Linked DNA regions of Xenopus tropicalis. The protein of the gene in region 1 purifies or fractionates together with the protein of each later gene. This does not show direct contact. Links are inferred from orthologs where the notes say so. Each region holds a gene or a part of one and is shown in the gene's direction. Other genes may lie near its edges. The genes, in order: stx6, vamp3, vamp8, vamp4, snap29 and snap23.

What was found.
Region 2: the proteins of stx6 (region 1) and vamp3 purify together in Homo sapiens (affinity purification with mass spectrometry; 5 studies listed by BioGRID and IntAct, counting the BioPlex papers as one, with this or other methods). This does not show direct contact. The link is inferred for Xenopus tropicalis from reciprocal best matches to the Homo sapiens genes STX6 and VAMP3.
Region 3: the proteins of stx6 (region 1) and vamp8 purify together in Homo sapiens (affinity purification with mass spectrometry; 3 studies listed by BioGRID and IntAct, counting the BioPlex papers as one, with this or other methods). This does not show direct contact. The link is inferred for Xenopus tropicalis from reciprocal best matches to the Homo sapiens genes STX6 and VAMP8.
Region 4: the proteins of stx6 (region 1) and vamp4 purify together in Homo sapiens (co-immunoprecipitation; 5 studies listed by BioGRID and IntAct, counting the BioPlex papers as one, with this or other methods). This does not show direct contact. The link is inferred for Xenopus tropicalis from reciprocal best matches to the Homo sapiens genes STX6 and VAMP4.
Region 5: the proteins of stx6 (region 1) and snap29 purify together in Homo sapiens (co-immunoprecipitation; 3 studies listed by BioGRID and IntAct, counting the BioPlex papers as one, with this or other methods). This does not show direct contact. The link is inferred for Xenopus tropicalis from reciprocal best matches to the Homo sapiens genes STX6 and SNAP29.
Region 6: the proteins of stx6 (region 1) and snap23 purify together in Homo sapiens (affinity purification with mass spectrometry; 3 studies listed by BioGRID and IntAct, with this or other methods). This does not show direct contact. The link is inferred for Xenopus tropicalis from reciprocal best matches to the Homo sapiens genes STX6 and SNAP23.

The regions. Positions count from the first base shown.
Region 1 is NC_030680.2:100,858,217-100,861,716, forward strand, and holds part of stx6 (syntaxin-6), read left to right. Parts: intron 1-381; coding exon 382-476; intron 477-1,773; coding exon 1,774-1,836; intron 1,837-2,470; coding exon 2,471-2,593; intron 2,594-3,466; coding exon 3,467-3,500. UniProt on the Homo sapiens protein: SNARE promoting movement of transport vesicles to target membranes. Targets endosomes to the trans-Golgi network, and may therefore function in retrograde trafficking.
Region 2 is NC_030683.2:101,173,481-101,177,700, forward strand, and holds the start of vamp3 (vesicle-associated membrane protein 3), read left to right. Parts: upstream 1-1,420; 5' UTR 1,421-1,465; coding exon 1,466-1,467; intron 1,468-4,220. UniProt on the Homo sapiens protein: SNARE involved in vesicular transport from the late endosomes to the trans-Golgi network.
Region 3 is NC_030679.2:125,658,574-125,662,073, forward strand, and holds the end of vamp8 (vesicle-associated membrane protein 8), read left to right. Parts: intron 1-2,207; coding exon 2,208-2,372; intron 2,373-2,522; coding exon 2,523-2,666; 3' UTR 2,667-3,085; downstream 3,086-3,500. UniProt on the Homo sapiens protein: SNAREs, soluble N-ethylmaleimide-sensitive factor-attachment protein receptors, are essential proteins for fusion of cellular membranes.
Region 4 is NC_030680.2:107,501,160-107,505,340, forward strand, and holds the start of vamp4 (vesicle-associated membrane protein 4), read left to right. Parts: upstream 1-1,381; 5' UTR 1,382-1,401; intron 1,402-3,729; exon of another isoform or gene 3,730-3,835; intron 3,836-4,181. UniProt on the Homo sapiens protein: Involved in the pathway that functions to remove an inhibitor (probably synaptotagmin-4) of calcium-triggered exocytosis during the maturation of secretory granules.
Region 5 is NC_030677.2:153,633,264-153,635,440, reverse strand, and holds the end of snap29 (synaptosomal-associated protein 29), read left to right. Parts: intron 1-881; coding exon 882-1,042; 3' UTR 1,043-1,677; downstream 1,678-2,177. UniProt on the Homo sapiens protein: SNAREs, soluble N-ethylmaleimide-sensitive factor-attachment protein receptors, are essential proteins for fusion of cellular membranes.
Region 6 is NC_030684.2:105,560,974-105,563,556, reverse strand, and holds part of snap23 (synaptosomal-associated protein 23), read left to right. Parts: intron 1-748; coding exon 749-892; intron 893-2,583. UniProt on the Homo sapiens protein: Essential component of the high affinity receptor for the general membrane fusion machinery and an important regulator of transport vesicle docking and fusion.

The DNA.
Region 1 (3,500 bases):
ATACTTCCATATGGGTTTAGCTGATTACATTTTGGCATGACCCTTTTTTTTCATTACAAGAAGTGGCCCCATTTATTTAAACAGAGGATCCCAGACTAGGGATGGCTTCACCAGATGGGCTCATAGTGTTGCATAAGAAACACAGTCTGATGGACAGTTAGGGCAACGTTTGTGAAGAATGCAAATATGCTGTCCTAACATTATAGCTCAGTGATGGTTACAATGTTGCTTTCATATATTTTACTGGTTTTATGAACCAAGATTGGGTCTGAGCAAATGTTGCACCTGAAAAGGTGGCTTCAACAACAGTCTGGAATGTAGCCTTTATAATTTTTTATATCACCTTTTCTTGGTACAAAATTTTCCTTTACTCTTCCTCATGTATTGTGGAGTCCAATCCACGAAAGTTTAGTCTGGATCCAGCTGAACTGAGACAAAGGAAAGCCTTCATCAGTGAAACTCGTCAGTGTGTCAAGGTATGATTAGACTGGGTTCTTGTGTTTTTCTGTTAGTTTTGCAAGATTCTCAATAGCATTAGTTAATTGTGCATTATGCCAAGAGCGGGTAGTGTTGATTTCAGCTGTTTGGATTGAATCACTTTTATCCCAACCGTTGTATTTATTTACAACAGATCACATGTGGGTATCCTCTGGGTGCTTGGGTTTCCTTCTGCACAATAAAAATATAACTTTTGGTGTATTTGTCCTGTGATGTAGATGTATGTATGCATGGAAGTTACACTCAACTGATCTTAGTAAGCAATGTGTTTCTTAATATATAAAGGATAAATGGACAGAAAATATACTGGATTTGGAGATGTGCGAAGAGGCACTTGATTGGCCCAACTCACTAGATTTAAACTCCAAATTAAGTTTATTCATAGAGACTACTTGGCCACGCAGAGACTGTCCAAAATAATTCAGGGGACCTCTGTCCTAAATGGCAAAATTATGTTGTCTCAATGTTCCATGTGTTTTGGGAGTGTCTAGTCATATGTACCTTCTGGCTTGAAATACTGGCATATATAAGCATACACTTGCATTTCCCAACATATTGCCTTTACTATACTGGGTATTTACTGGGTATAACTGGCAACCTCAGTATGAGAAACTGTGCTCCTTGCAGCTGATTTATTATGCTAAAAAAGATATCCTCTCAAACATTTCTCCCTGTCTGGCATTCTACCTGTATGTTGCCCCCCCCCCCCCTCCTTCCTTTCTTCCTTCTTCTCTTTATCTAACCTTCTTGTTGTAATTAATGCTTGTTGAAAAAACTTTAAAAAAATAAATAAATAAGGATAATCACAACGGTCGGAATTCCTATACAATGTTTGGCAATACTTTACTGAAATCAGCATTTTCTAGGCCAGTGGTTCGTGAGCCACATGTTGCTCACCAACCCCTTGGATGTTGCTCTCAGTGCCCCCAAACCAGGTAGTTATTTTTGAATTCCTGACTCGATGGCAAGTTTTGGTTGAGTAAAAACAAGACTTACTACCAAATAAAGCCTCCTGTAAGCTGATAGTGTGCATAGAGGCTGCCTAATAGCCAATCTTAGCCCTTATTCAGCACCTCCATGAACTTTTGTGATGCTTCTGTTGCTCTCCAAGTCTTTTTACATTTGACTGTGGCTCACGAGTAAGAAAGGTTTGGGATCCCTGTTCTAGGCAATGCTGGTTGAAGTCCAGGAGGAGTGGAAGTCTTGAAGAATACTTTAAATGAAAGTAATGGTTTCAGTTTTAACTTTCTATATGAAAATGCTTTATCTGCACAGGACATGAAGGATAGGATGACAAGCCCTTCTGTTCAAGCACTGACTGAGAAAAAGAACAGACAGGTAAGGGTGTTCACAAATAACATATATTAAAACCGCCACTGTGTTGTTTCTATTACTTTGCTAATTAATCCTGATACATATACAAAATTCTGCTGTGATGTAAACAGTTCGTTTTAGATAAGAACTAGGACCACCCTGAAGTCTAGCCACTGCTGTAACTATAGACAAGACAGCCCCCGTAGTCGTGGGGCGACCCGGATCACTGGGTCTGGTTCCTCTATAGTTTGAGATTAAATTTTAAAAATTGTTTTAAAAAATCCCCCCTCCCCAGCTGCACTTTGCGGAAGGGGAGCGGGGACAGGGGCAGGAGGGATAAAGGTTTGTTGCACTGAACAGCTGTGCACTGGGCCCCTCAGAAGATTTTTTTTGCAGGGGAACCCGGCTCTGACTTGCCGCTGAGTGTATAGTAAAGTATAGCATGACAAAACTGCTATATTGGAAAGAAAGCAAAAATAATGAAAACAGGTATTTATGCTATATATGTTTTCAGGGTTATTTTTTTTGTCATTTTTTTTCTAAATCTTCTCTACCTTCTGAAATAATACATGTTGTTTAAGCCTCATAAAATATTTTTTCAGTGATAATGTTTCTATTGCTAAAACTTGCACAGCATTTATATAGCTTTCTCTTTCAGGCCCTTTTAGGGGAGGGAACAAAGCATGGCTGGAATCTTGAAACAGAAAAATACAAAGCTTTGGACCAAGAACTCGAGAATGCAAACTCCCAGTTTTTAGATGGTCAGGTTGGGCAGCAGCAGGTAATTTATTTAATTAAAGACTCACTTTTATCTTATTATAGAAAGGGATAGGAACTTGTCGTTATTATTTAAAAAAAAAAAAAGAAAAACTGATGACAGGTCAGTCTCGGCTCAGTGATGTTGACTATTTTGTTTCATACACTTCTGCTTTTATTTAAAGGAGAAGGAAAGGCTAAGTCACTTGGGGGTGCCAAAATGTTAGGCACCCCCAAGTGACTTAGAACGCCTACCTTGTACACCGGGCTGGTGCCCCCGTACGGAGAGAACAGCACCAGCCCGGGGCAGCTGCCGGCGCTACCTGCTTCCTCCTCGCTTGCGCGCGCATGCGCAGTAGAGTGAAAAGCCGAACTTAAACATTAAAGTCGGCTTTTCACTCTACTGTGCATGCGCCGGCCCACGGATTTCGCCAGCAGCGCGCAAAGGAAGGAGGAAACGGTGTCTTCAGGTGCCCCGGGGTACAAGGTAGGTCATGTAAGTCACTTGGGGGTGCCTAACATTTTGGCACCCCCAAGTGACTTAGCCTTTCCTTCTCCTTTAAGATAACTTTTGGTTAGTCCTATGGTTATGATAAGGCATAACTGTTTAATAGTATAATGCAGCTGAAACAATGTTACCAAGACAGTTTGTAGCATTGTTAGGAATACTGTGATTCAGTGTAAGACCACAGATATACAACCTGTGCAACATTACTCAGTCTGTGTGTCTGCATTTCCAATGCTGCTAAAGATACAGGAAAGATTTTTTCATTAAACAAAGCACTGTTGCTTAGGAACCATTATAAGACACTTGCCAATGTTTGAAAAGCCACAAGCCACATATAAAGGCTGTAAATGCCTCATGATATATCCTTGTGATTTACATTTTTTTTCTTAGCTGATTATGGAGCAGCAAGATGAGCAGCTGGAGC
Region 2 (4,220 bases), on another chromosome or scaffold:
CCAGAGCCCTAAAGCTGGCCATACACGTGGCGATCTGACGATGTTTCATGCGAAACATTGTCAGATCCGCCACACACCGTCAGGGCTGAAACAGCAGATAAGGAGGTAGAAACAATAGGATTTCTACCTCCTTCTGCCGATTCAGCCCTGACGGCAGATTTTGGTCAGGCGCCTTCTATGGCGCCCGATCAAAATTTTCTAACCTGGCCAATCGGCGAGTCGTCCGATATCAGCAGCTTCCTGCGATATCGGTCGACTTGCCGACATGCCATACACGCACCGAATATCGTACGAAACAAGGTTTCGGTGCGTGTATGGCCAGCTTAAGGCCAAACTATAACATGAAAGGGATACAAAAAGTCAAGCCTGCACCATCCGATCGTCATCTGGACGATTTTTGGGCAGCTATTGGTTGGGGATGCCTGTCAGAGGGCCCCATACATTGACAGATAAGATGGCGAATTACTGTGAAGAACCCGAATTGGCAGCTTTAAGGTGCATGGCCACCTTTATAGAATTGCTAATATCTTTTCTACCAACCACCTGATATCTTTCCTATCCAAACTTCCCCTCCCCAAAAATCACCTACAATTCCCCTCTTCCTTCCTAGGAGGCGTGGCTAGTCCAGGCCCACCCATGGCAAACTTTGTGTGGAACCTACTGCAGAGGAGAGTGGGTGGGGGCTCTCCAGGCCATGGGACAGGACACCTGTTTACTTGGGGAAGCTGGTTATAATAATTAAATTAATTTAACCTGCAAATAGTTGCAGTCTATATACATATTTATATTGTTTTATTTCTTCCTTAACCTCAAAACATTTTAGTCCGCAGCTTGGCCAATGTTATTAAAAGAATAACTCGTCTCCTGGTCAGGTTTATATAACGGTGTTGTAAGAATTCCATATGGATTTAGTTTGTAAGCTTTATTTGACTACTGAGGTAAATGATTATTTCTGTTACTGCGCTGCAGGCTGCATAGCTATAAGTGCAATGTTCTCAGCTACCATTTATACCAAAGGGGCCCCAGGGAGGCTGTGTGCCCAGGCTGAATACTCTCTAGTTAAACTTTAGAAGCGTTCCCCTAATGTCGCAGCAAGAAACACATTAGACTGCCCGACACGCCTAGGGCCCCCCGCCGCCTCACACTATTCTGAACATAACCCTTGCGTGTGGAATTTCGCACGCCAAGCCCCCATGCCAGTTCATTGGCGGGAATATCGCAGCGGTTTCCGCCGTTCCCCGAGGGACAATTTAACAAGACAAAACCGGGAGCGGCTGTGCCACACACGTGACCTGCTGCTCAGCTGACAGCGCTGCACCTGACGTCATTGATGCTGGCCACGCCCTGAGTTGCGCTGGCCACACCTCTCCCGGCAGCGGAACTCTACGGGATTGCGGCTACACAAGGCAAAAACGCCCAGCGGAGTAAAGTCGGACCGGTGTCCTGCAGTATCTAGCCTGTCAAAATGTAAGTGTGCCAGTAGTGCTTGGGGGGGGCTGCCTTTACAAGTTGCGGGGAACGCCCTGCCCGGTATCCGCCCTTAGCCCTGCGCTACCGAGCGGGGCCTGTGAGGCGTAGAGTTTGGGCGCAGAATGTGCTATTTTGTCCGTACAAAGTTGTATTTAGTTCGGCCGAGAAGTTTGTGCATAGGCTTATAGGGGTGTTTGACAGGGGACACAAGTGCCCTATGGCTTTAAAGGGTAAATACAATTACAATAGGCGTGTAATGTTTCAGTCTGCTTTCTGAACTCCTAGCAGTGTCGGACTGGCCCACAGGGATACCGGGAGAATTCCCAGGGGCCCTCCTGCTTCTAGCCATTTGGCCTAATTCAGGGTCCTTACTTATTTTTCTATAAGGGAACAAAGCAACTAAATATATAGAAAAATAGATTATAGTCTGTAAAGATAAAGAAAAATAACTTGGAATATATAGAGATAAGAAATGGATGAAAAATAATTTGGAGGGTGGCCCCATGGTCTAAGGCAGTGATCCCCAACCAGTGGCTCAGGGGCAACATGTTGCTCCCCAACCCCTTGGGTGTTGCTCTCAGTGACCCCAAACCAGGGAGTTATGTTTGAATTCCTGACTTGGGGGCAAGTTTTGGTTGAATAAAAACAAGATTTACTACCAAATAAAGCCCCTGTAAGCTGATAGTGTGCATAGAGGCTACCTAATAACCCTTATTTGGCTCCTCCATGAACTTTATGGTGCTTGTGTTGCTCTCCAAGTCTTTTTACATTTGACTGTTGCTCACGAGTTAGAAAGGTTGGGGATCCCTGGTCTAAGGTTTTCTGGTGGGCTTTTAGCATCCCAAGTCCGACACTGACTCCTAGCATCTAATGGGATGGGAGTTGTAGTACAATAACAGCTTGTTGTTACATTACATAATATGACTTCTGTTAGAACTCAAAATAGACTTAATGGCTCGCATTTGTATTTACTGCTTCACAAGTCTTGACTCATTTTAAGAAATGGTTCTTAATGTGAATGTTCTGCTGCAGCACATTGTTGTTTTACGGAATTTATGTTGTTCAGATTGGGTGAATTTCATCAGCAGATAGGTTTCATTTCAAGTGCATTTGCTACATGTCACAGGGTAGGTTTTGACCACCATTGTATCCTGGTGGGGGTTTAAGCCCCTGAAATCACCCACGCCTGCCTCCCATAGCAACCAGAGGAAATCACCCTTGTGATGGCTGCATAGGCTGAGGATTTCTAATACATTACTATGGGAAGTGGCAACCAGCAAATTTATCAGATATTGGTCTAAGAATCATAATAAGGAACTTGTTACAGTTAGGTAATACTATTTAGGGTGAAGACACACAGAGCTACTAGTAGCAGCTACTTGTCATGGCTACTAAAAAAGGCTGCTGATCATTTACTGATAGTTATCTCTACATGTGTTAGGGCATTAGGGTATTTTCTGGAGTTTAGTAGCCTTTACAAAGTAGCTGGTACTAGTTGCCCATTGTGTCTTCACCCTTAAAGGAACAGTAACACCAAAAAATGAAAGAGCTTTAAAGTAATAAAAATATAATGCACTGTTGCCCTGCACTGGTAAAACTGGTGTGTTTGCTACAGTAACACTACTATAATTTATATAATAAGCTGCTGTGTAGCCATGGGGGCAGCCATTCAAGCTGGAAAAAAGGAGAAAAGGCACAGGTTACATAGCAGATAACAGATAAGTTTTATCTGTTATCTGCTATGTGCCTGTGCCTTTTCTCTTTTGAATGGCTGCCCCCATGGCTACATAGCAGCTTATTTATATAAATTATAGTAGACTTTCTGAAGTAAACACACAGCTTTTACCAGTGCAGGGCAGCAGCACATTATATTTTAGTTACTTTTATACAATTTCATTTTTTTGGTGTTGCTGTTCCTTTAAGTATCCAGATTATAACCCATATAGATACACTTGGTCAGTGTAGCAGATCTCTTCCAAACTGACTGAACATTAGGATGTAGCCTTTAGGTGACGTATTAACTTTTTTGTGACCCCAGTAGGTCCCTTCTTTCTCTAGAGAATTGCAGATTGCTGATAGCATAGCTCAATCCAATTGGGAACTCTTTTTTTGTGTAAGTCATTTATTTCAGATTCTTCTGATTAATATAATGTAACCGTATGTTGTTAGAGAGGAGAATGCCAGGGTTACACCCAAATTATTTACTCAGAGAAGGGCCAGCAGCAATAAAACAGCTTTAAACCCATTTTTACCAAAAAGGAGAGGAGCTGATCTGCACGTAGATCCCAGTAATTACCCTGGCACTAAGGAGAAGAGAAAGTGTAGCAGCTGCCTGTTTCACTTATGATCTACAGCTGCAGACCAGAATATTGTAATAAAATTATAATTATACACAATTTGTAGATTATAAGCTCTTTTGGGCAGGGCTCTCTTCACCTCTTGTATCAGTTATTGATTGCTTTATATGTTACTCTGTATGTCCATTGTATGAAACCCACTTATTGTACAGCGCTGCAAAATATGTTGGCGCTTTATAAATAAATGTTAATAATATACTGTAAGTTTTGCACTATGTGCACTTATTGCTCAAAGGTCTTTACCTTTGAGCAATAAGTGCAAAACTTACAGCAAAGTTTCTGGTGAATTCCATTCAGATGTTGGGGGCTAATGACTCCCCAGACACTTTTACATTTGATGTGCGTGTGTGTGGAGTTTGGGAGGCATTCTGTCTCAGAGGCTGATTATATCAG
Region 3 (3,500 bases), on another chromosome or scaffold:
CAAATCTTTTTACATTTGAATGTGGCTCAGGGGTAAAAAAGGTTGGGGATCCCTGTTGTTATAGAGTGTATGACGTCTGTGGTGCTAGCGCTTCTGTGCGTCTTTGGGCCCAAAAATTCTGTGTACTAATGTTGTCATGCATTTCTCAAAGAAGTGAATTGGAGGTGGCAGAATCTTCTTCTTACCTGGTAGAGAATTTTTCATGTGCCACCAGCCTAAATGGCAGCGCTAGAATTGTTTAGTTGCAAACTATAATGATATGTTGGAGCAACAAAGTCTGCCGTGGTGGATAAAGGACAAAGAAATAAAGGCGTTCTGTTTTGATGAGGTCACAGTAAATAGCATTGGCATTAGCAATGCATTAGCATCTGAGCTATGGAAGGTTTGGTATGTGTGGCGAAGGTTTGAGGATATATCTCATGGGAAATACCGGCCATGCAGTGATCAGGAAGTCACAGCGGTTTGTGGGGTTGGATGCTCGGAGCTCTTGGCAGGGAGTTGTTACAGCACACCAAGCCAATTTAAAGGGCTGATTCACCTTAAAGTTTTATTTATACTTACATATTTAATTTGGATTGAAAAAAAAACAATGGTCCTTTAAGTTTATTGGGACTGGGGAGCGTATACACCAAAAACCAAGTTGTGTTTAAAAAAAATTCTGCGTGTTTTTTAATTTAAAAAATCTGTATTTTTTGCCAATATAAAAACAAATTTTCATTGAACTTACCCTCACTTGCTTTATAAACAGGGCAGTTTGTTTAGATCTTCCTAACTACTTTTGAGCAAACAAATCCTTCCCTTCTCTAAGCAGCAGCCTTTAAAACAGCTTATTATGCAGGGCTTTTCAGTGGGCTGGTAATTAGTTTTATCAACTCCTTTTGAAGTTCATTGGGATCAGAAAGCCTCAGGAAGTGCCAAAGTGAAGCTGGCTTCCTATTCTTGTTTTGTGCCAGAAATGGCCCCCGGGCTCCTGTCCCGTTTTAAGCAAATGCTTACTGCACATACGTGTGTTAGAATCAGTGGAGTCAGTGGAGATAGTGTGTATGCTGAGTGAGCGTTAAGCAGGCTTTAGGCCAGTCTGTAAGCATGTGTATTGGTGTCACTTCCAGGATGAAACATTTTCGCCATAGTGCTTGATGTAATTCAGAGTTCCCCTTCTCAGCATTGACATTATGTGCACATACTTTAACAAAAAAGAAAATCCCATCCACGGTCATCCAAATGTCTTAGCTTCTTTACTTCTTTCTGTTCAGCTACAGTTAAAAATCCAATCTACCGGTCACAGAACCCGGCGCCAAAAAAACTATTGCTCTGTGAGGTTAAACTAGTATTGTTATACAATTGTTATTGTTACTTTATAACTTATCATTCTGTTCTGGCCCTCTCCAATTTATTTTACGCTCTTTTATTCAAGCCACTGTCTGGTTGCTAGGGTAAATTAGGCCCTAGCAAGCAGGTAGCGGCTAAAATGCTAAAGTGGAGAGGCTGCAGAATATAAAGCTTAGTTTAATGTTAAGGGCTCTGGCACACGGGGAGATTAGTCGCCCACGACAAATCTCCTGTGTCTCGGGTGACTAATCTCCCCGAAATGCCATCCCACCGGCGAAAATGTAAATCGCCGCTGGGATGGCATACGCGGCGGCGCGATTTAATCGCGCAAGTTTCCTCTCGAGGCAACTTGCGCGATTTCACTGAAATCGTGCCGCTGCGTTTGCCATCCCACTGGCGATTTACATTTTTGCCGGTGGGATGGCAATCCGGGGAGATTAGTCGCCCGCGAACAGGGAGTTTTGTCGCGGGCGACTAATCTCCCCGTGTGCCAGAGCCCTAAAGGAGAAAGAAAGGTAAAAACTTAATCAGGATTTTTAAAGAAACCTTTATCAGAAAGGTCTACGTAAATACAGCCATATCACTTATAGTAATGCTGCTCTGAGTCCTCTATCAAAAGAAACACAGGTGGGCATATCGGGGAAAGAAACAAGCGGATCTTATGTCTGGCCAGCTTCTTGCAGGGTATCCCATTTCTGTGGAATTGTATGGCTGACCTTAACCATACATGTGCCACAGCTCTTACAGCATTATAGGGAAAACAAATTCTACTGATTATTTTTTGCCTATTAACTGTAAAAGAGTGGCAGCATGTGTGATTCTGTATCCTGGGTCTTTGCAGATTTCTGCCCCTATTTCATTATTGATTACTTTGGCAGGATATGGGAGGGGCAAATGCCCCAGCGGCCCCTGAACGCGTGAGGGATCTCCAGAGTCAGGTGGACGACGTAAAGGGAATCATGTCCCAAAATGTGGAGCGAATTCTGGCACGGGGAGAGAATCTGGATCATCTAAGGAACAAAACAGAAGACCTGGAAGCTAGCGTAAGTGCCCATAGCCATAGGCATCCCATCTAAATCCCTCTCCAGCCCCATCTTAGTTCTCCACTACCTACACTGTTATTCTGCCCATCATCCTTCTCTGTACTCGCTCTATCACTGCCTCACCTTGTTTTGTCTGTTCCTTTCACCCAGTCTGAACACTTCAAGACCACTTCCCAGAAGGTTGCCCGCAAGTACTGGTGGAAAAACGCAAAGATGATTGCCATAATCTGCGTGGTGGTTGGAATTATTGTACTCCTCATCATCCTCCTCGCCACTGGAGTCATCCCCACATAAAGATTGTCACTCGCCAACCAGGCTGCTCTGCCAATGAGGACTCATGATTACCTTTCACTTACTCCTGCCTGATGAGCTCTCCTCAAGCCAATGGAGAGAGGCCAATCAGACTTGTGTTGTTATACTTTGGATGCCTCTGATTGGCTACATTCATTTTCTCCTTATGTGTTGGCCTGTTTCAGGTCACACCTAGATCCAGTGGGGTCTGCATACCAAATGAGTGTATATTTTCTTCCTACACATAAAGGTTTGATTCTCAATATGGCAAATAAAAATATCTAGGTATATTATTTCATTCCTACTTGCAGCCCATTTCCCACTTTGTTTCCGGTGATATGTTTTTGGTTAAGTTCTTGTACTCATTGTACACCATTACCATTGTACACCATTACCGTTATGGACTAGATAAAAGTGTAATATCTACCACTTCTACACTTTCACCAATTATTTTTTTTTAAACCCATGCATGTTTTGCATTCTTGCCTTTATTCATTAGTTTAAGCCCCAAATGATACATTGCTGCCACCCAGTGTATAATCTGATATGGGAATCCTGCTCATTCACTGGTGTACACATTGTTGATCAACCCCTCTCGGCTACTTAGAGTTGCTTCTGTTTGAATTTGTTTGCAGAAATTTCTGGGAAATCTGAATTAACAGTTTATCTATAATGCCACTGTAGGGGACATGTCTCTTTTGTATATAAGGGTAGATTGTATCTAACTAGCTATAATATGCATTCTCTTATTATCAGTTGGGTTCTAGAGTCTTAATATGTTGTTATTATTACTTGCTCGTAGTAGTCATTTGAGGCTCGGTAAATTCTTTTTCCGTA
Region 4 (4,181 bases), about 6.6 Mb from region 1:
CTGGCCCAAGGAAAGCCTCCCATAGGACTCAATGGCACTCTGCAGCTCCAACCTGGCCCAAGGAAAGTCTCCCATAGGGCTCAATGGCACTCTGCAGCTCCAACCCGGCCCAAGGAAAGTCTCCCATAGGACTCAATGGCACTCTGCAGCTCCAACCTGGCCCAAGGAAAGTCTCCCATAGGGCTCAATGGCACTCTGCAGCTCCAACCCGACCCAAGGAAAGTCACGATACTGAAGCTTGAATGAATCCGAAACTTTCGTACTCGGCGCAACGGCTACGAAAAATCGCAACAATTCACGCAAGTCGTAACGCTACGAAAAAGTCGCGACAATTTGCGAAAAAGTCATAACGGCTACGAAAAAGTCGTGACAACTTACGAAAAAAATTGCAAAATACCGATCATTACGAAAAAAAGCATTCGGACGCTTTTCGGACGTTCGTGGATTAGTAAATGTGCCCCAAGGTGTTATAAATACACACAAGCAAACACATAACCTTGCACTAGGAGTAAGTGCCCTACAAAGGGACCAATAAACCCTATCTATGTAAATGTCTACTCTACAGTATAAGGGCAGTGGTACTTGGGGAGATTAGTCACCCCGCGACAAATCTTTGTTGTCGCGGGCGACTAATCTCCCCACAATGCCATCCCACCGGCTAGAATGGGTGGGATGGCACTGTGGGGAGATTAGTTGCCCACGACAACGAAGACGATACTACTTCAAATCGCTTAACGCTCTGAATCGATATGAGACCCTTTTTTGAGTGATTTTACAAAGAAAGCAATGTCATTAAAAACTACTGGAATCGCTGAAAGTAAAACCCACTGATGGAAGCTGCTGCGATTTCCCCATTGCACTGAATATAATTTCTAATTGTGGAATATGACACTTGGATTTGTGGGAAATAGAATTGCTCCATTGTTGTAATCGCTTGTTAGGAAAAGACAAGTGACTTGTTAAAAGCGACTCACTTTTTAAAAATCACAGCGACTAAATCTCCCCATGGGATATTAGCCTAAGAAAGAGACAATTTAAAATAAAATGAAAGAGCAAATATTTGTTCAATACTAAAAATAATGACAACATTTCTTTAATGTCTCTATTTCATCTTAAAAGATGTAATTAATACTTAAAAAAACATTTTGTACGGCGTTAATGAATACAAACAACGTCAAATCATTAATTTCAGTCCTACAATGGTGCTGGCAGGCTGGCTTCACACTGTGCCAGTGCGCTTGCGCATTGTGAGAACGCCGAACTCTAGATCATTCAGAGGGTTAAAGGGAACAGGACGGTGAATCGCGTTTCGAGCGATGGATGGTTTACAGTCAGCTGGAGCGCCATGTTAGCCAGTGAATAAGCTTAGAGCTGAGCATCGCTGGAGTCTCATCCGAACAGGTACAGGTCTGCCGCATCGGCTCTAGTTGGGAGGGATTCCCCCAATAGTGAACCGTCCGAATATATTACAGCTGCCAGTTTGTCTTGTGACAGTCACAGGCGGTGAGGAAGATGGCTCGGTCTTATTGTCTTCTTGTCAGTGGTTCCTCTTTACAAATCCCAGTGTTTGTGTTACTGTACTAAATACGAATTGCTACACACTTATGGCCACCTATTGCTTTACTTGTTAATTTATCTTCTATGTGTGTGTGTATGTATGTATATATATAATATATATATATATTATACACACACACAGTACTCAAGCCATGAATATCCAGTAAATTGATAGTGATAATCAGTGCTTAGTTCTAAAATTTGTGTCTTGCTGCGTTGTGCCACTATATGGTCATGAAACCTCCCATAACCTCTGATATCTTTATCATGTACAATAGAGGGTACATATATAGTCTCATTGACTGTCATAAGGATGATCTTGATGACAACTTTGTATAGATTGGAACACGTAGAACTTTTAAAGGGGTTGTTCACCTTAAAATTAACTTTTAAGTATGACGTGGAGATTTATATTTGCATTTGGTCTTAATTTTTATTATTTACGGTTTTTTAATTAATTTGCTTTTTGCGAAGCAACTCTTCAGTTTGGAGTTTCAGCACCTATCTGGTTGCTTTGATCTTAGTTACCCTAGTAACCAGGCAGTGGTTTGAATTAGAGACTGGAATATGAACAGGAGAGAACGTAACTAGGAAGATAAGTAATGAAGAGAATGACAATAAAATTGTAGCCTCACAGAGCAATAGTTTTTGACAGACAGGGTCAGTGACAGGCCCGGACTGACGATATGTGGATTCTGGTAAATTCCAGAGGGGCTGCTGTAAGATACCATAGACAGTCACTATTGGGCTGGTGGGGGCTGTTTGGGCCTTTTGTGTACTTGAATTGGCCAGGCCTATTTTGAATCCCAGATCAGACCTGGTCAGTGACCCCCATTTGGAAGCTTTAGAAGAAGAAGCCAAATAATTCAAAAACGATACAAAATAACAAATGAAGACCAGCTGAAAAGTTGCCAAGTATTGATCATTTTATAACATAATAAAAGTTAACTTGAGGTGAATCACTCTTTAACTTCACTGGATTACTTAAATAACATGCAAAAATAAGTGCTTTTGTATTGTGACTGTATATAGTAAGCATCCGGCTGGATACTTCAGAATTATTGGAGTGTGTCTGGATGGGATGGAGATAAATAAAATGTTAGGCACCCCCATTGATTGTAATCATTTACCTGATACCCCAGCCGGTGCTCCTGTTTGGAGAAAACTGCAGTGGCCTTGGGTATATGTGAGCGAGTGTTCCTTTTCCTTTTATCTTCTTTCTTCGGAATCCAGGGGCCGAAGCATGCTCAGTTGAATGAAAAAGCCAGCTATTTTGTTAAAGCCGGCTTTTTACTCTACTGCACATGTGCAAAGAAGAAGGAACGCTCGCTCGCATACACCCTGGCCACTGCAGTTTTCTCCAAACAGGAGCACCGGCTGGGGGTTTCAAGTAAGCGATTGAAGTCACTGAGGGGAGGGGGGCTGCCTAACATTTTGGCACCCCCAAGTGATTGTAACTTTCCTTCTCCTTTAGGGCCGTGGCAGACGGGGAGATTATTCGCCTGCAACAAATCTCCCTTGTCGCGGGCGACTAATCACCCCGATATGCCACCCCATCGGCTTAAATGTCAATCGCCGGTGGTATGGCATATGCGGTGCCGCAATTTCCCAAAATTGCGGAAGTTTCCTCTCAAGGCAAACTTAAGGCCCTTAATGTTCATAATTGCGGTAGCACCTTATTCAGGCGCCGAAAATGCAGTACAGAGAAAAATAGCTTTTATAGGCCCCTTTCCTTAGCACCAGCTCCAGAGCAGAGCAGAACAGGACAGAGCCTCGGGTAATACATTTTTGAACAGTAGAATGCAAGAATTATTTTTTAGGTTTTTGCTGAACTCGCAGCTATGTTCTTGCCCCTGTGTATAATTCTACATTGTGTTCTTTTTCCTTGTAAATGCAGAATCATGGTGTAATGGGGTGGGGTGGGGGGGGGGGGGGTTGTTAGCTCTGGAAGGAAATGTATATGTGAATATTTTCATTTCTTTTTATGTAACTGGCAGTTTAGTCTGCTTTTTTCTTTATATGCCAAATATTAGCCAAGACTTAAGACTTATTATCTTTATTATTTTGTGTCCCTGGCAGTTTATTATTGGCAGCTTGTATTTTTAATTTCAAACCTAGTTGGTTGAGAAAGAAAAAAGCAGCTCTTTGTTTTATATTTATTGACCAGGTTTTAGGGGCAGCTGGGTCTCTTCATCAGACATTCCTTTAAACCATGGAGAATTATCTGTTTCAGCCAATAAAATAACCATATAAATGCCAGTATTTCCCTTTCGAAAAGGTGAGACAGTTATTCCAAAAATGCTTATATATCATGCATGTTAAGCAATCCTGCCCAGTGCACAAAGGTTTCCATCACTGTGCAGATTCTTTGTCCTATAATAGTTAATTGGAAATTATGTAGAAATAACCTGTATATGTGTGCATGGGAACTAAAGTTCTCAGCCCTTAATTTCAGCAAGAAAAAAAAATCACTAGTTTGTCAGTGCATAACATTTCTGTAAAACTTCTCAAGTCCAAATGTAATAAATAATACCTCCAGATTACATGGGCATAATGTTTACCCTAGAATGCGCCAATTCCTTAATTTTGGGGTTTTTTTCTTAAAGGTAATCACATGTTGTGGG
Region 5 (2,177 bases), on another chromosome or scaffold:
TATAGGCTCTGAGGATCATTAACTACCAATCCTACATTTACTATTATCAGTATTACAATTGCTTTTTAAATTACTGAAATGTGTGCCTTTGCCCTAATGGGGTAACCCAGTGTCTTTTTACATAATAACACTGAAAGGATTTGTGTGGTATAAGACTGGGAGTGAAATAATAAGAGAGCTGCTCTTCAAATACCCCTTTGGCCTGTCTACAAAACCATTATGACTGCTAAAGTGATACTGACACGAAAAAAAAACTTTTTAAAATATAAATCTACATAAAAAGTTGCCTATAGGTCGTGTTGATCATTTTTTACTGATAGGGCTGCTTTTGTAAGTAATTGTTACTTGAAATCCCAAAACCTGACTGTTTTGCCAGCCTGACTGTCCCTTCTCAGCCTGTCAGTTATAGCTTCTAATGCTAACGGCCTCCTGCTGGACAAATATGGCCGCCCCCTCATAGAGGAACATGGGGGATCAGATAGGGAATGTAAAAGCTTGGACAAATACTTTTATGGCAAAATTATAAATAGCATGCAAAGACAATGTTATGACAGATGTAAAAATAATTTCATTTCTGGTGTCAGTATCTCTTAACAAATACTTCCTGTTTTGGCATATCTTTCATAAACAGTTTGGAGGATTGCGACTCTAATTACCAACCAACTAATCACATTAAGAATCTATTGGGAAAGAAATAGGCTCCCAACAGATTTTAATGACTGATTCTAGGCATCAAGGCTACCATTTATAGATGACCTGGTTAAAGCTAAATGACAAGGTGTAACCCATACACCGTATTTTTTTTTTCCATACCTACTAATATTGCTGCATTTTAAAAATAATAATACTAATCCTAAGGTTGTGTTATTCCTTTCTTCCAGATGACATGTCTTTAGGTTTGGGTCGCCTGAAAAACCTTGCACTAGGACTTCAGACAGAAATCGATGACCAGGATGAGATGCTTGGGCGCCTAACTGGCAAAGTAGATAAGATGGACTTAAACATCAAGACTACAGACAAGCGGATTCGCGAAGAGCTATAAAAGACAAATTTCAGACTTGACCAAGACCGACTCTTGAGTTTTATTCTTGTGGTTTTTATAATGTTATGCAGTTTTTTTTTTTTTTGTTTTTTTTTATACTGGGACATAAATATCCCACACATCCCTATCTGAATCTTATATCTTCTGTATAACTATACATTACATTCGTTAGCATTAAATGTAGATGATGTTTTGCAGTATTATTACTAATATAGATCCTTATTAAGATATAAAAATGAATTGTCTTACTATTGGAATTGTATTGTAGTGATTGGCAGTTTGTTATAGCTCTGGATCTGAATAAAGTATTTGAGTTCATTTGCTAGGTATTACCTTACTGCTATATGACAGAATAGACATATGAACATGCCTTTATTAAAACTGCAATATTTTACACATGCTCGTAACATAGGGTTTAATGGGCCCTGCCATATGCCACTTTCTTATTACCCTTATTATTTTAATCTAGTGTTCTGAAACTTTGTGTATAAATATGTTTATAAATTTATGTGACACTCCCGTAAACCATACTGTGAATATTTTATCAGTTTACTTGTTAAGTTAAAAAAAAAAGCCTAATAATCTTGCCTGTTATTATTTTAACTAACTTGTTTAATATATTATTTGCTTTCTGATTTTGTGCCATTTGTCTTCTTTAGACAAATTTGAGTCTGTAGACTTGTTTCTCTGCCTGACATTTCAGATAATTTATTCATACTCCCTTATACTTATTAAATGTTTTGGACATAGTAATCCTTATTTCCCCTTTTGTATTATTAGCACACTTGGGCATATTTTAAAGCTGTGTAAAATATTACATGAGCAATAACACCATGCACCCTTGTAACTATCAATTACAAAGTTGTAATCATAATCAAAACGGGGCACATGTGCTTCAGATAAAATCAGTGGTAAAGAATTTATAGCAGCTGTTGAAGGCAAATGTGCCTAGCTTTTTAGTAGCTGTACATTAACATATATACTGTATATCTTTAAGCAGTACAAGCTATGATAACATCTGAGCCTGTGTTTCACTGTCAAATGCATATATGTTTGAGGGCGTGTTTAAAAAGGCCACTTTGCATACTAGACTGAGAAGTAGCACAATAATCTTGTACAGCAGCATTTTTACCTA
Region 6 (2,583 bases), on another chromosome or scaffold:
TAATTTTCAACTTGTTTTTACCGTGTTTATGTAACAAAAAGGCACGTGATTTTAAGGATTCGGAACTGGTGCGGCCAGGAGCATGGATTCAGCCAAATCCAAATCTATCTTAAAAAATCTCCCAAATCTTGGTGCATTCCTACTCAAAATGCATCAAATAGTGCTGCTAAAAATGCACCCATGCCCCACCTAGTGGTAGGTATAATAACCCTAAAAAGCAAAAATCCAAGTCCAGCTCAGCAAATTCATGACTCCAGTTACATAGGAGAAACAAAAGGTTACTTGGAAGCAGGTCTAATGTGTAGCGCTGGCTCCTTCTGAAAGCTCAGACTCAGGCACAATGCACTGAGATGGCACCTACACACCAATATTACAGCTAAAAAAAAAAAAAAACGTTTTGGTACAAGAATAACATTTTATATGGTAGAGTAAATTATTTGCTGTGTAAACAATGTAATTTATAAATAAATGGATTCTGTCATGATTTTTGTGGTCTCCTTACTCCCCCCTGCCAACTTCTGGGTGTCTCCCCCTTCTCCAGAGACATAACCTATCTGGGAGGTTAGGGAAGGTTCGTATTTTAAATTCAAATTTGATTTTTATTTGAATACAAGTTTCTGGTTCCAGAGGGATATTGCACCTCTGATTTTTTTTTTTTTTTTTGTATCTTGGTGTCATGTTTTTTTAACAATTTCTGAATAGCAGTAGCAATGAATGATCCTGTCTAACAGACTTCACATCTTGGTAGGCCAAAGGATTTCGAGAGTGGGGAAAACTACAAAAAGACTTGGGGCAGTAAAGACAATGACTCAGAAAATGTGATATCAAAGCAACCTCATCAAACAAATGGACAACAGGGTGGAGTGGCACAGAGTGGTCCGTATATTAAGAGGTAAGAGAATATATAAAAGAATATACAATGTTTGATAGAGTAAATTGTATTCCTTACTGCATTTTGGCCATGCAGGAATGTAAAGGTACTAAGATTATATCTTGAATGGATAAGATTAGAAAGTTTGTCCTTAAGAGAAAATACATAAAAATAGCTAAATACCATTATTTTCCTTTTAAAGGAGAAGGAAAGGCTAATAAAGAGTTAATCTCAAGCTGCAGGCATACCTTCAGTTGTCTCAAGTCTCCCCATATTTCTCCCGTTCAGATGATCAGAAGCCAAACAGGAAGAAAAAATGCTGAGCTGTGTATAGAAAGTTCCCATAATGCCTCACCCCTGCACAGACGCCCAGACCAAGTGAACATGCTCTGTTAGTTATGAGTCAGCTTCCTGCTGATTGGCTCAGATTCATATTCCTAAGGGGGGGGATGAGTTCTTAGCATTCTTGAGGGAGGGGGAGCAGGAGAGAGCAGAGAGCGATGTGTCTCTGGCATAGGAAAACAGACACAACTAATATTTTAACAGAAAACTCAGTGCAGCATTTCTGTGAGTGCTTATAGCTGTATTTACATAGACCTTTCTGATAAAGCTTACTTAGTTTTTACCTTTCTTTCTCCTTTAAAACACTTTCGTTTTTACGTAACTGTTCCTTTAACAGTGAAAAAAGTAAAAAGCACAAAAATAGAACAATTACAGATGGTCTCAAACTAACTATTATCCTACTGCTCTTTATTTTCTCCTCATCTCATTCTTTTAGTTTTTTTTCCACTTTTTTATGCAGAAAACACAATATTGGGCTAGGAACCCAATACTTTACAGGGAAATATATTTTAAACCATGCTTTATTATTGGTGACTATTTACTCATTACTATCTAAACTTTAACTGAGCAAAGTGCCCCAGATGTCCTTCAGGCACATGCATATCTTAAAGGTATTCAAGGAATTCATAGGATTAATGTACAACTAAATACAGTAGATTTTGAAGTTTATATAAGTTTGCTGGGAATTATGCCCCCAAAGTCTGAAAGCAATAGAGTTGCCAAATTATTGGCCTGCGTACGGAGCCTTTAGGAGGGCCGCTCAACCAAAATCTTGCTAGTACCTATTGGGTTGATTTCAAATTCCCATTGGGTGAGAATCTTGGCATGTATGGCCATCTTACGTAAGGTAATGAACAGCTACTTGTGTGTATTGGGGGAGGGGGGTGGATTGCAAGTTTGATTCCAACCTGAGCATTGTCTCACTTTATAGATTTCTGGGGAAAGGTTTTTTTTTTCTGTCCAGGCAGAGTAAGTTCCTGGTTAATTGTTTACTGATAAAATTGGCTGTAGTGTATGTTAAGGGTGAAGACACACAGACGGTTATCAGTAAATGATCAGCATTATCTAGCTGCTGCTAGTAGCTCCATGTGTCTTCATGCTAAAACAATAGGGATTGTTGACTGCTAGCTCCACTGGGGCACTGATGTGAGTGATGTATAATCTCTGTAAAGTGCAGTGAAATATGTTGGCACTTTTTAAATAAAAGAATAATAATTATAAGCTCCAAAGGGCCTATCTCTGTAGGCAGAAGACACAGAAATGCCCTGGAAACATTGTAAGGTCACCATATGGCTTACATTTTGCAACATTTTATCTTCCTCATGTTCTTCATATTAATATTTGATCTTTAAAATGAATACAGTAGGTCT